Lepisosteus oculatus: one gene and its partner. Each later gene encodes a partner of the first gene's protein in a complex. Links are inferred from orthologs where the notes say so. Each region holds a gene or a part of one and is shown on either strand. Other genes may lie near its edges.

Region 1 (7,034 bases):
TCATGTAGTATTATGTTTAACTATAAAAATATAGTATGAAGTCATAAAGAGGTATCACTTGATCGTGACACTATATCCAATAGTCTTACTGAAAATAATAAGTATCCCAATATTATGGTATAAGAGTGTAGAAAAAATGTATTCTGTGCCAACTGATGCAAGTTATATTGGTCAATGAGTTATATTAACTACCAAAACAAGTATAGCACTTTAACACTATCATTGCAAATCCTGTTACATATTTTCACAGTTTGGAAATCTCTTTGTTTATAACGTACTTTAAGCAATAAGGATTCTGCATTTGATGTTGATAAGAATGAATTTTGTTGACTTGTAAAACTTTCACATCTCAAAGCAAACATATCCATGGACAACGTGTAAAACCAGGACTGGTTGCAAAATAAACCTAAGACAAAATGACAATGGGAAATTTAAGGTGCAAACCTGGTTTATTCTGGGTGTTCCCAAATAGTCCTCCAGTGTTATTAGTGGACCCAAAAGCTGAAGTCCCAAACCCACCTGTAGATCCAAACCCAGAATCTGCAAAAGAAGTTGAAATTGCGACCATTTTGTTTTTCAGACACTTCGAATGACAACAGCTGTCTTTCGGCAGTGCATAGATTAACCACCATCTGCCTTCGCTCCAACCTGGCAGCAGTGGGGGACCGATAGTAGAAGCTACATCTGCCAGGGTGGCCAGGGCTCATTCTGGGGACCTTGGGACTTCATGAAGACTTCTTTGGGATGAGGACTTACAAAGAGTAGTGGCAATACAATAAACATTATAAAGTCACACCCTCATTGGCAGAGAGCTGGCAAGCTTGTTTTCACTGCATTTGTCTTTTGCACAAACTGTAGTGGGATACTCCAATAAAGTGTACTTAACTGTGTTCTAGGTGCCTCTATCTGGCTTGACCTTGTCTAATTGCATTAGATACATTCTTCTTTTAGAATATGTGTATTTGGTGTCATTAACATTAAACTATTGTGGAATTCTAGTTTTTATATCACATGCGGGACAGGATTCTTCTAACAAAAACTCCATATCATGACATGTTTGACCATTTTCCTTTATCTTTGAGGATTGACTGCTTTCCAATAGGTGTAAATCAAAGTATAGTACACAAACACCAGCATTGTTCCATGCCTGATATCAGCTACAAAGACACAAATACACGGTAAGGCAAGCTGTAAAATAGTGATTCTGAAAACAATGTCAACACAAGTTGACAAGGAGATAAGAGATACATTCCACAAACCAAACCTACCTGTATCCATTTACAGGCTCCACCTTAAGCTAAAATGGACATTAAGCACTTTTATTTTCACTGTCCTTGCTTCTTATATGCACCACCACCCTCCATGACTTGTCAATGCGCAGCATCTTAACAGTAGTATGTAATCTGTTCTATGTTTCCAGTATGAAATGGAAGTACAATAATGAATTTATAACTGCAATAACAGCGCAAAAGTAGCAACTTACTCTGTCCAAACGTGGAGGAAGTTCCAAAGCCACCAGTTCCTCCTCCAAAAGGAGTTCCAAACGCTTTGTTGAACATATTCGGTTCCTATCAGGACTGCATACGTCTGTGAAGAACAATTCAAAATACTGTTAGAAACCTTCGGCACATTTTGTTAACGTATGAGTCACATAAAAAAAAACTGACAAATGCATGGAATATTCATCTCAACTGTCGAGGCATTCTTACTGTTTATATTCCACGACTTTACATAAACCCATACCGAGGTAGCCTTATTTCGCTCATGAACCCGTCAAGACAACTACAAAGTCTCACATTTATAGCGTCGAAATGGCAACTGCTAATAAATATGTTTTCGTTTCATTCCCTTAGTACAACTTACCAGTGCTCGTTTGGAAGTCAGCACCGGCACAGAACAAAATGTATCGAGGTAGCAAAAAAAAAAACCCAGAACTTCCACAACGTATTTTTCCCCCAAAGAGTAAAATAGTGAAAACGTCAATGGCTAAACACCCTTTTTGAGACTTCAGGAAGCACAAACACGTTCAAACGGGAGCCAAGACTGAAACACTGCAGGAGAACGATTGAAAAAAAAAAACGTTGACTTGGATCGGAGCTGTTGAAGTGTATGTAGCGGCATTCGAGTTCATTACACAGCGGGTGAATCGGCAAACACTACATTTTGCGAACCGTTCTTAGCCACCGTGCAAAATTAACACTGTCAACAAATCACTCCGGGAGTTTGAAGTCGTTTCTATGGTGGGTTATTCTGCGCGTTAAAGCTGGATTTGTTTACAGGAAGACGCTGAAGAGGCGCCAGAACCGATGGTCGAGGCCTAAAGCACAAGGTTTCAGCGGCAACCACATACAAGCCTCAATTCAGGGCACGAATTGGGGTTTCGAAGATCCTAGGTTACTTCCTTAAAGCATACCAAAACAAACATTTTAGGTGCGTTTCGACCGATCGTGCTGGAAGGAACCAGAACAAACCGGTTTTTTAAAAAAAAATGAAATCGCTATCTAAACAAACGAGAACGCTGGAAGGAGATACCAAGCAATGTTACAGTATTTGGTGTTTCTTTTGATTTATTAAAATGTGCCCCGATCACTTGCTACCTGAAACTGAAGCAAAGAATGTGAATTATTATAAAATGCACACTTGCGACATAAAAGTGCTAAGCCAACACAAACTTGGTCGCATATGCTTGCAGGCAGACAAGCTTCGCAGACACGCATTTAAGTACGTTGGCAATTACAATATTCCCCTGGAATATATTTTCTCATTGTACTTCAGGATTAACAACTGAAGCTGCCACGTTTATGCAAATTAAAAAGGCCAACCACAGAGAAACGTGCAAATTAACCAAATATTACAAAGTAGCGATATTTCTTACCGTATTATTCAGAAGCCCACTCAATATCTTCCTCAGGTGTTCTTCCAGCAAAAGCGGTCCGAATACAAGATGATATTTATGTAGCTCACTATCCACAGTGTCCAATATCGATATATATTTTTTTCAATATCGCCCAAGGAAGAGAGAAACTGCGTAATTTACCTTTGAAAGGCCAAGCAGTACGCAAACTACGTCAGTACGTAATATGTCGACCTCTTTCTGACGTCTACTGCAGATGGATCTGAAATATTATTGGACAACACTGTCGCCCATCAGCTTGTAAATCTATTGCACTTTCGCGACTGGGTAGAGTTTGAATTGGTGTCCCGCCTCCATTCGGAGGCCTTAGGAGCGAAGTCCCAGTTTATTGGCTGTTGGCAGCGACCGGCCGCTTATGTTAAATCTGTTCGGGTCTGGACGGCCGTACGTGATCATGTGTTGCTGTGCAGCTCGAGTGGAATTCGTCGCTTCCTCTAGTCACGACCGTTTTTGAATAGTGAGTCATTCGCAGTCGTGATTCACTTGGTGGATGAATGCGCTGTATTTCATTCGGGTGGGTAAAAGTAGAGGCAAGTTGTCTTATTGTAGTCTTCGATCGATGCTACCGTTTTATAGGATCAATTGCGGGGTTGTAACTTTGTTCCAGATTTATATAACGGTCTTCAGTTTTTTTTGATCCCATATCCTATGAAAAACATACTGTAGCTCCCTGGTCATGTGTTCCCCATGTCCTAACACTATTGTGCCTCGCTGAGGTCCTGGGGGGCTACAGTCCTGCAGTTTTCACGGGTCTGTCTTGGCAGCACCAGTCTCCCCTTATCTACAGCTGTATGATAAATGTATTTTTTAATGTGTACTTGCATTATGGTGGTTGGATTTACCATATTTGGAAATTATTCCAAAAAGTAAAGCAAGTTCCAAAAGTAGAGTGACAATCAGACCCAAATTTAATTTTCTCACCAACTTTAAATAAATGTGGGCTTTCTGGAGGTATGTTACGAGTCGCAAGTTATAATAATCCCCACTTACACTAGTTACACAATAGTTCCACTTTCAGTATCTTTCATTTTCTGGACACTTCACTCAAAGTGCTTTACAGGTAATGGGGACTCCCTCCTCCACCACTACCAATGTGTAGCCCCCACCTAGATGATGCAACAGCAGCCAAAGTGCACCAGTATGCTCACCACACATCAGCTATCAGGGGGGAAGAGAACTGAGTAATGAGGTCAATTCATAAATGGGGATTCTTATGAGACCGTGTCTGGTTAAAGGCCAGAGGCAAATTTAACTAGATCAATGGGGTTATACCCCTTAATCTTTTTGAAAAATGCCCTGGGTTTTTTTAGCACTATGGAGTGTCATTATGATTAAGGTTTTACATCTCATCTGAAGGATGGAACCTATTTACAGTATAGTGTCCCCGTCACCATACTGGGGCATTAAGACCCACCCTGACCGCAGGGTGAGTGTTCCCTACTGTTCCCAGTAACACCTCTTCTAGCCAGGTAATGGCCAGGCTCACACCTGCTTAGCGTTAGTGGGTTACCAGTTGTGATTCGCAGAGTGATATAGCTGCCAGCTATAAGTAATGGAGTTTCCCCTTTGTATTGACCCAGGAATGTGGAAGAACAAACTTCCCAAACCTTGTCCCTGGGGCACCACTGTGTCTGCTGGCTTCCCTACCAGCTAAGCTCCACATCTTCAGTACTAATTGATGACTTTAACTGCTCTGCTTGCAAGCACAGGCTTTCAGGCTATTTCAATACTCAGTCAGGAGATATAGAAGGATAGGGTTTCCAACGGCTCCAGCATACAGAACATGGAGTAGCCTCTCTACAATGTGTTAATATGTGATTGATTTTTAATAAAACACACAGATGAAAATGACACTGTAGCAGACACTCACATTGAGCTTTTATTTTTCCTTCAGCAGAGGATTAATTGAGTACATTTCATACAACACAGCTTTGGCACAGAGGTACCGTGTTAATGCCAATTACAAATCCCATTTGACCTTTTAAAAGCTGAAAGCAAATTTTAAAATATGCTCAATTTAGCCTGTGATTAAGAACTTGGATTGGGCAAAACCAAGAAGTGACATTGGTCTCTCAGGACCTAGGATGGGAACCACTTTCTGTAGAACATGTCTCTATCCTGGGTCTTACAGATCACCTGTTTCTAAAGATGTATTAACCAATAGTACAGTAAAGCCAAAATAATCTGTTCATATTAAAAAAAAACTCTTGTCTGTGAGGGCTGGATGAAACACCTTGATCAATATTAACTCTAATTTCTTTAATAAAATAATGCTATATTCTTTCTTTAAAATGTGAAAGGGTATAAACCTTCCTTCTCTTACCGTTTTAGTTAGTTTTTAATCTTGCAATATATATCTTTAACATAAATAGGAATTTCTGAGCACACAGATGATCTGTATTTTGTGGATCAAAAACTACATTCTTAGAAACTGAATTTTATAAAAGGTCGTGTCTCCTGGGATGTTACATGTTCTAGAAACGAGTCAAGCAATGTAAGTAATATGTCCAATTGTAAGTGTTGTTAATGTTTTAAATGAAATATGTAACAAAATGCAGTAAACGAAAGAAAAAGTTTGCTTTTTGAATGCAGGCCAGAAAATGGCTTGGTCGAAAATTCAAGGAAAAGGAGATTATAAATTGCAATATGCGTAGAAGTTAGTTCTACGTTTGCAACATCTCGCTTTTTGACGGGAAAGAAGTACAGTACAAGCACTCGTACTGTACGTCGTTAAGAAACGTTGGAGTATTTCGTTCCGCTTTTGGGAGCCTGTCTCTTTAAAGAGCCTGACACCTGTGTGAGTGCTTTGCTTCTTCCGGGGACATAGTCACAGTCACACAGACACGCTGAGGTTTCGTTTCATGCATTCTGCAACATCACGAACTCAATTGATTTTATTACGCTCGGGTTTTATAAATCTACCAGCTTTGCCAGGAACAGATCAGCTGTTAGAGAAGAGTACTCACCCACATATTTTTTCTTCCTAAATTGTTTTTTTTCTCTCTCTGAGTGTTCATTCAATGATTCTTTTGCAATTTCAAATAGAAACAGAACTGCACTTGCCACTGTTCTAGTGCGTGTCCATGATGATGCTTCATTCAGCGATCGCTTAGTCTGTCGCGTCCGTGGCGGCCGTGTTCTGCTCCAGACTTTTTCGGCTCCCAAGCCTGTCTGCCGGATAAGGTACAGAACTCCAGTCCCTGGCTGGAACGTCTGAATAGGCCATAACATGGAGTTAGCAATTACTGTACTTGACATTGTTATGTAATTTATTGTACACCATAACAGTGCCATAACATAACAGTTTTGCTTAATACGAATGTGTTTTGGAGTATCCAAATGACTCTACGATTTGTCATGTACATGTATTCCTCGTTATTCTTCTTAATGATAGTATCATTAACGACTACAATCTATGCAGCAGTCGATATGTGAAATGTACGAGAAAAAAAATAGATCGAGCAGTTACTTAATATATACTTACACGTTCGTTAAGATAACATATTTCACCTAGCTACTTAATGTGTTCAATTTTGTACTACATGTTTTACAACTTACAAATGTTACAGGTAGTTGTTGTCTGCATGTTGGTTATCATTGCATCATAAATGCATGAAATACTGCACAGTATTACACATTAACATACTGTCCATACCTCTGTGGCAGGATGCTTCAGGGGCTTGGTGGTCCAGATCGAGATAGCCCGGTCTTCCGGCTGCGTTTCACGACCTTCATCGTGGGCACCGTCTGCCTGCCGCTCATCGGCTTCGTGTTTTGCATCTTCATTTCACTGATCTTTCATTTCGATGACTCCACCGCTACGCACTGTAAGGTGAGCACATTTGCTCTTCATCTGGGTCTTTAAAGCTGCCTGTAGAGATCAAGTAATCTGTTTCACAAAGACACAAATAAAGATCATCATAATTGCTTGAAAGTATCTCTGCTTGAGTATCCAGGCATCCTGAGAGCACTTGAAGTGAGCCCATATTTTTTCATTCTTTTCATTTGTTACGTTGTAGTTTATCTTCACCTGTTACATTAGTGTCCAAAATTTAAGGAGCAGTCTATTTCCGAGTACTAATTTAGAAACTGAAGCAACATTATAAATTAAACCTAGTAT
Region 2 (7,524 bases), on another chromosome or scaffold:
AGTAAACACCGGGACTTAAAAGGTTCAGAGAAAATAACTTGTATGATTACTGGATTAATTACACGATCATAGTCATGTTTTCGATTTTAAGTTTGATTGTAATTTTAACAAAGGCCTGTTCTTTTTTTCTATCTTAGAAGTTGTAATATATGCATGAATGAATTGTCCAAATACCCAATATACAACAAAATATGTACAGACTGTTACATTAGCTACCATCTCTGCTGCCAGAGACTCACAGACTCGGCAATTTTAAAACCTGCTCTTGCATCGGGACTCCTCTGTCTGGCCACGCTTGCCTTTGTCTTCAAATGGCCTGGTTTGCACTGTGCATTGGGCATCTTCTGATTAACTTCGAGAAACTCATGTCCCGTGCAGATCTGGTCAAGCATTTGCACCCCTGTTACATCATCAGGGTCTGATCATCTGATCTGCAGTTTCACACTGGATTCCAGCTTACCTTTAACAGCAGTGCTTGGCTCTGCCGCTCATCTTGCAGGACAGACTAATGTAAGAAAGAGAAACAAACAGATCATGTGAAAAGGGAAAAGTACTTTCCAAAAACTATTCCGTTTCCAGGTTGGTGAATTTTTCTATTTCATTATTAAGGCACTGGAAATCCTTCTCTACCTTTAAGGCATCCCTGGTGCCTCTGTAGTCTTCCTGCAAGTAACACTGCAACACCTGGACACTCTGCTGTTCATCAAGGCCCTGGAATACAGTAAATATACCATGTTGACATGACAAATCTGTGGCAATTTATTATCTCAATGGCAAAACAAAATCTGATGTTGCACATTCTCCATATCACAGGCTGCAATAGTACAATTTCTAATTACTTTATTAATACAAGTAGTTAATTTAATCAATTGCAAGAACTTGAATATGCTTCAGCACCTCTTAAAGAATAACAGAGCATTTTAAAGCACACAATCTCATTTAAAAAAAACTCACAAAGGTTAAAGATTATTTTTCACAAAAATAAACGTAAAGAACGCATAGCCAATGTAGGCATGTGTAGGTCAGGCACTATAACATTCCAATTACATACCGTATTGTACTAATTGGATTAAAGAATATGTTTGACATAAAATTCTGCATAATAATATAAAATTCCATCCAAAGGTAATTTATATTTTACACTTACCTAAACAGGAGATGTAATCCATTCTCAAAGATTACATTTACAAATAAATCTCATAACACTCACCAATAATTTACTGATTCTGAGACCAAAGTCTTTCAGTGGCTGGGCAACTTCTTTATCTGACTTCAGTTTTTCTGCAGCCGATGAACTAGAAAAAGAGAGATGCAAATATCAGATTACTGAATTAACTGATTTTAGATGTTTTGATTCTACGCTCTGTTGTCTGAATAATAGCAAACATATCTGCTTTGATCTTAATCATATATTGTACATTTGAACTATGATGCTATATAAAAAGGTTTACCTTTACAAAATAAGTGTTTATCAACAGCATACCTAGGTGGTTTGTAGTAACATAATCCTGATAGCAACCGCTCCCAGTTTCTGTCAAGCTCTGCTTCAATCTGGGCCTATTATTGAAAGATAAAACACGAATGCAGATAATAATGACAAACACATACAGCTACGCCTGTGATTCCAACAACAGTTACAGTTAAGAAAATCTAAAATACTCTAGATTTAGCTTTAATGAAAACCAAAGAAGAATATTCAGGTATCTATGACTGACTTCTTTATACATTCTCCTTATCCTAATAATTACATTTTATTTAAAAAATCACCAGTCACAGACTGCTCCCTTTGTGTGGATAAGAATGTTGCAACATTTTTCTCAATGTTTATTCACAGCATTAACAGGTTTTCAAGAAAATTGCTAGGCGGCATAGCAAGTTTCCCTGATCTTCATACATGTTTTCGGAGATGTAAATGGGAGTCATATGAACAAATTATGTAACAATACCAAAACCAAGAAAAAAAAACAAAATTGCACTGCTGATAATCATTTTTTAATTAAAGGGTTGCATATTCATGCAAACAGAATACGGAAAAAAACGTTACCGGTTCCCTCAAAGCCGATCTTCCCAACAAGATCGTCCAAAGTTCTCTGCTGGTCCTACAAAAATAAACGCATTCATCCCTATAAAAGTGACGAAAATAATCATAAATGACATTCCACGCACTTATACTTAGAGATAAACGTGAACATTTAAAAGCTTACACATCTGCGGCATATTAACACTGTTACGTACATTTCACATCTCACTGGTACGTCTGGACGCTACACACGATTTTTAGGGTCAGAAATAAGGAAAAAAAATACTTTACTCCAAAGTTGAAAGTGTCAAAATCAGATTCAAGTTACTGTATGTTCAAACCTCCGCGTTCAACTGTTTTGACATTTCTCGGCAGTTCTGTGTTAATGGAAGTTACAACATTTTGACAGTATACGTTTGTTTTCTTTTAAATTGTCTTTATTAAAGGGATGCAGCGTAACGGATCGTCCTTCGCATGAATTTTAGGAACCAATAGCCTACATTCATTCAAAGAACTAGGCACGTTTTCAATCTAGTTTTTAAGCAATTACTTCTGTTATAACATTGGCAATAAACCTAGATAATAGGACCACCGTACTATATAGTCTCAACAAGTTTTTTCTATACTGTTAATTGTTCTTGATCCGAACATTATTGGAGTATCTCGGAACATGGTACTTGTTATATACATATTTCCTGCCAATGAGAATAAGAAGCAATGTTAACTGCCTTCTAAAAAATTTCACTAACATGCGGCAGAAAACAGCACACATTTTTCCCTCCACATTGTAATAGCCATCCCATTTATAAAAGTAAGAACTAAAAGGAAAACGTCCAAACGTCTAAATAACTATTCATTCATTTCATTTTATCCTTCCTCATTACATTTCCCATTCAGACATGATCAGTTTTGTACAATGCCATACATTAAAAGAACACTTTTGCTTTTCTTTCAAGTACCTGACACACATCTCCGAGTCCGCCATATTCCCCCCTACACGTGACACCTCCTCCGGTCGAACACCCTGGTCATGTGACGGGTGCCCCGGGTTGGAAAGAATAAAAAAAACACTTCCGAAGCCGGCAACTGAGATGCGATCACTGTGTAGGAAGCAGAAAATAAAATCCGCCCTATTCATGTGATCAAGCTGTCAACATGGCCGCCTCCTAGATGTTAAAGACTAAAAAAAAAATTATACGATCGAATGAAAGTACGCACAAAACGTGTTATGATCGCGGTGGACATGTGAAGTAAGTTAATTAACACATTTTATGATATCTGGGTAGTGTTATCAGTTGGCTTTTGCAAATTCATGGGGATGTTGCTTGCATGTCAGATATCTTGTACCTTGCACCCAGTTCCGTTATGTTGTAATTTCATACAATCGATTGGCTACCAACCAGTCTTGTTAAACCACAAAAGGCCTCAGTTAAAGCGGACTCGAATGCATTTACCGTGGAGCTCTTAAATATCCATGCGTTTCTCGTGTTTTCAATTTTGAAGCTTTTAACTATGGATAGGAAATTACGCACCTGCAGCCAAAAAACGCTGTCTGAAATACATTGTTTTATACAATAGCCGTTTAACAATGTCAGTACTAGTCTACTTCAGTGGAGTGGTTTTATGAAAAAGCACAGCGTTAAGGTAAGCTGACTGTCAAATTGTTACATGTTTCACAAGCTTTGTTAGGAACAGAGTGGTGTTTGAAACAAAGAGCATTAATGTTTTAAAGAGAGGAGGCCATCCTGCTGATCTAAGTCGCTTGGGTGATACCGATACAGTACTAAGCTAAGTGATCCGAGGATTTCGTCGGGCTGCGTCTTGAAAGACGACATTACACGACCATAAAAGAACGTTTTTATTCTCTTCTAACCGGATACTCCGCGGATGTGTGATGACGAAGAGTTTTATTAAATGTTTTATTACGTGGGGAGTAAAAGCACGTTTCCATGATTTGCTTACTTTTATTACGACAGAATTGTAGTATTTTGCCCTGGCCGTTGGCATTTCTAATTGGTGACGTCTCTCGTGTCCGTGAGGGTACATCGGCTTGCAAATACGCTATAGAAAAAGTGACAGAATTATAGAGTTAAATCATTCCACCGACCGAGACTAACACTGTAATATATATATATATCGATAGGTGGCGTAAGAATGAAGAATGGAAAAATGTGAAGCATTACATCAAGGAAGTGGCCTGCCCTGGATGCAAGAAAATACCGATAAATAGCAGTTTTGAGAAGCACCCCTGAAGCTGCAGGATCTGCAACCATGCTGACGAATCCTGTGTTCGTGGAGTCAGTTATTGTTTTCACTATTGTTTTGTGTGTCCATTTTGTGGTTTGGAATCAGCTGTCATGGTGTTCCATTGCCTTGGCCATTCAAGCCTTCTATGTCCAGTACAAATGGGACCGCCTCCTGAAATCTGGCGGGGCTGTGTTTCAGTTCAGACCCTCTGCGAACAGTGGCATCCTGCCCGCTTGCATGATCATGCCTCTACTTGGCCTGGCCCTGAAAGAGCGCTGCCAAGCCTCCGGAAATGTGTACTTCGAGCGCTTTTCAATGGTGGTCACCGCGACAGGGATGATGCTGGCTCTGTTTCTCTCCCTGATTGCCCTCGGCATCACCAGGCCTGTGCCGACCAACACCTGTGTCATTTCTGGCATTGCTGGTAGCGCCGTGATCTACACGATCAAGCAAACCCTAACGGTCTCTGAAGTCATTGAAGTGCTGGAGGTGCTTCTGATCTTCGTCTACCTCAGCCTGATCATTCTGTACCTCCTGCCTCGCTGCTTCACTCCTGGTGAGGGCCTCATCATCATCGGTGGTATTAGCTTCATCATCAACCAGCTCATTAAGCGCTCCCTGAATGCCCCTGAATCCAAAGGAGATCCCATCAACTACTTCCTGCTAGTGATCGTGGTTGGATGTCTCTTGCTGGGGATCTTCTTCACCCTGCTCTTCTGCTTCATGGAGTCGGAGACCTGGGTGTCCTCCCTGTTTTTCCACATGATGACGGCAGTTCTTGGCTTGGGGATTATCATGCCATGGCTTGCCCTCCTGATCCGAAGGCACCCCTTAATGTGGCTGATCGACTTCCTCCTCCTGAGTCAGAACAGACTCTGCCTGCTGGCCTACTGGGTCCTGCTGGCAGTGCTGGCGTCTCTGGTGGTGTTCCACCAGAACTACAAGAGGTCTTTGGGGTCCAAGAAGCACCAGGCCTCTACAGTCGTGAGGAAGTACTTCCATTTCATTGTGGTGGCCACGTACGTGCCCGGGCTGATTTACGACCGTCAGCTTCTGCACGTCGCCTCCGTCACCTGCTTGGCCGCCTTCCTCCTCCTGGAGTACGTCCGCTACTTTCGGATCAGACCCGTCGGGCACCTCCTCCGGCAGCTGCTGTCTCTGTTCCTGGATGAGCGAGACTCCGGGCCCCTCATCCTCACCCACATCTACCTTCTCCTCGGGATGTCCCTTCCCATATGGCTGTACCCTGGACCCTGCATGCCTAAAGGAAGCCTCCCAGGAGTGGGGGGACTGGTGCCCTATGCTGGTGTGCTGGCCGTCGGTGTTGGGGACACTATGGCATCTGTGTTCGGCAGCACCATGGGAGAGGTCCGGTGGCCCGGGACCAAGAAGACCATGGAAGGGACAGCCACTTCGATCTTCGCCCAGATTATTGCTATTGCTCTTTTCCTCATTTTTGATGAGGCCATTAACTTGAACACCAGCTATGCTTGGATAGTAGGATCAGTCACACTGGTTTCTTTACTAGAGGCCTACACAGCCCAGATAGACAACCTCCTACTACCCCTTTACCTTTTTATACTGCTCATGCTATGAAGGTAAAAGAACATTAAAAGCCCTTTCATTTTTTTAATGCTTGTACTGTATCTCCTTACAGTACTGAACAGAAAGTCATATTGAAAATATTCCAACAGTTCAGGGGTTTGAGGAGTTTGAATCAAATTGCATTTCTACATTTACTGCTATTTTTTTGAAGGCAAAGCAGCTTTAGCTTTGGAATGAGAAGAATACTGCACTCTAAGGCTAGCTGTACTTGAAAGCACTTTGGTTAATCAACACTGGCCACTTCAACACTACAGCAAGAGTAAGATATTTAAGGCAGATTAATCACAATTCAGTATAGTTATGGGTGGTCATAGCAACATAAGAAGTAAAAAAAATGCTATTTAGTGTCTCTGTGGCAGTGTTAGTTTTTCTATTGTTTGGGTAGAATTTAGGAATTGTATTTTGTCAAAATAGCGCTGATAGTACTTTAGCAGTTTTGTTCCTGAGTGAGTATTAAAAGGGGAGGCTCAATATACTTACTGTAATATATCCCTTTGCAGTTCCAGCTAGCGCACGAGTCCCAAAAGTATTTCATAATATTTTTTTCAGATGGTGCACAGCAAAGAGAAGTCAAAATACTGTTTTTCATTTTGTAATATGTAGTTTAGAATCAGTTTACATCTGACAACAATTACACCACCTAGTGATTATGGAAGTAAATTGTGAATGGTGATGATGCCTTTTCCTTAATCAAATGTACATTTTTCTCACCCTAAAGCTTAAGCTTTATTGAGGAATTTTTTACTTGAATTTCTCCGTTCCATGTTTCCTCAGCTTTTAACATGATTGCAGCAGATATTTGTCAAACCACTATTTTTTTTTCAGAATGTAAATTTGTCTTTCTCATTTCTGTGGAAGTACTAGAAATATTAAGACTTGGATGTGAAAAAGCATTGTGAATACTATATCATTACGGGCACCGAATTTAGCTAGAGAAAAATGTAATAATTGAAAGTATAGATATGTGATCTATTTAGTTTTTATTAGACATTTTATATGACTGAACAAGTACTAAAAATAACAATTTCAGTGGTGGAACCTTCTTCAGGTTTTTATATAAAGGTTTTTAGGTTCTTCTGCATAACCTAATATAAGCTACAGATTTAAAACCTTGAAAATAGACCTCAGTTCTGTATTTGTATTTCCTCTTATAGCTGTCAAGGAATTCCCTTGACTACAGTTAAGTTTGGCCACCAATCATACGAGTAAACACGACTGCCTTAAATATGTCTTCTCTAAGACCAGCATGTAGTAAACTATCTTTTGCCTCTACTTTGGCTTGTAAGTGAGTTGCCATGCTCTGCATACTCACTAGATGGCAATATGCTACATCACTAAGCCAGTCTTCTCAAAGTACTGTAAAATATATCTATTATTTAAACAACATTTAAAAAGTCACTTGTGCATTATGTAACACTGTCATACAGAGGGAGGACACATAGTTTAGTTTCTAATTAGGAAAATTCTAGCTAGCTAAGATTCTACAACCTTCTTTCTGTTATATTCACTGAAGATTGATCTACATATCCTTAATGTTAATTGCTGTTGCAACACACTAGTAATGTCTACAAAAATAAATAGTATCCCAGGTTGCCCTTATTTTACTTTTCAATTGTCCATTTTTTATTTAAAAAAACACCAGATTTGAAACT

The links. Proteins that work in one complex are often made in the same cells at the same time.
Region 2: nup98 (region 1) and nup188 share a complex: the UniProt entries of both Homo sapiens proteins name them as parts of the nuclear pore complex. The link is inferred for Lepisosteus oculatus from reciprocal best matches to the Homo sapiens genes NUP98 and NUP188.

The regions. Positions count from the first base shown.
Region 1 is NC_090700.1:12,972,348-12,979,381, reverse strand, and holds the start of nup98 (nuclear pore complex protein Nup98-Nup96), read right to left. Parts: upstream 3,062-7,034; 5' UTR 2,876-3,061; intron 2,348-2,875; exon of another isoform or gene 1,864-2,347; intron 1,588-1,863; 5' UTR 1,560-1,587; coding exon 1,484-1,559; intron 541-1,483; coding exon 445-540; intron 1-444. Other genes in the region: pgap2 (post-GPI attachment to proteins factor 2), read left to right, coding at 3,409-3,428, 5,960-6,097, 6,581-6,746. UniProt on the Homo sapiens protein: Plays a role in the nuclear pore complex (NPC) assembly and/or maintenance. NUP98 and NUP96 are involved in the bidirectional transport across the NPC. May anchor NUP153 and TPR to the NPC.
Region 2 is NC_090719.1:7,421,508-7,429,031, reverse strand, and holds the start of nup188 (nucleoporin NUP188), read right to left. Parts: upstream 3,041-7,524; 5' UTR 3,006-3,040; coding exon 2,980-3,005; intron 2,100-2,979; coding exon 2,045-2,099; intron 1,558-2,044; coding exon 1,484-1,557; intron 1,296-1,483; coding exon 1,211-1,295; intron 712-1,210; coding exon 631-711; intron 506-630; coding exon 461-505; intron 1-460. Other genes in the region: dolk (dolichol kinase), read left to right, coding at 4,292-5,863. UniProt on the Homo sapiens protein: Component of the nuclear pore complex (NPC), a complex required for the trafficking across the nuclear envelope. Required for proper protein transport into the nucleus.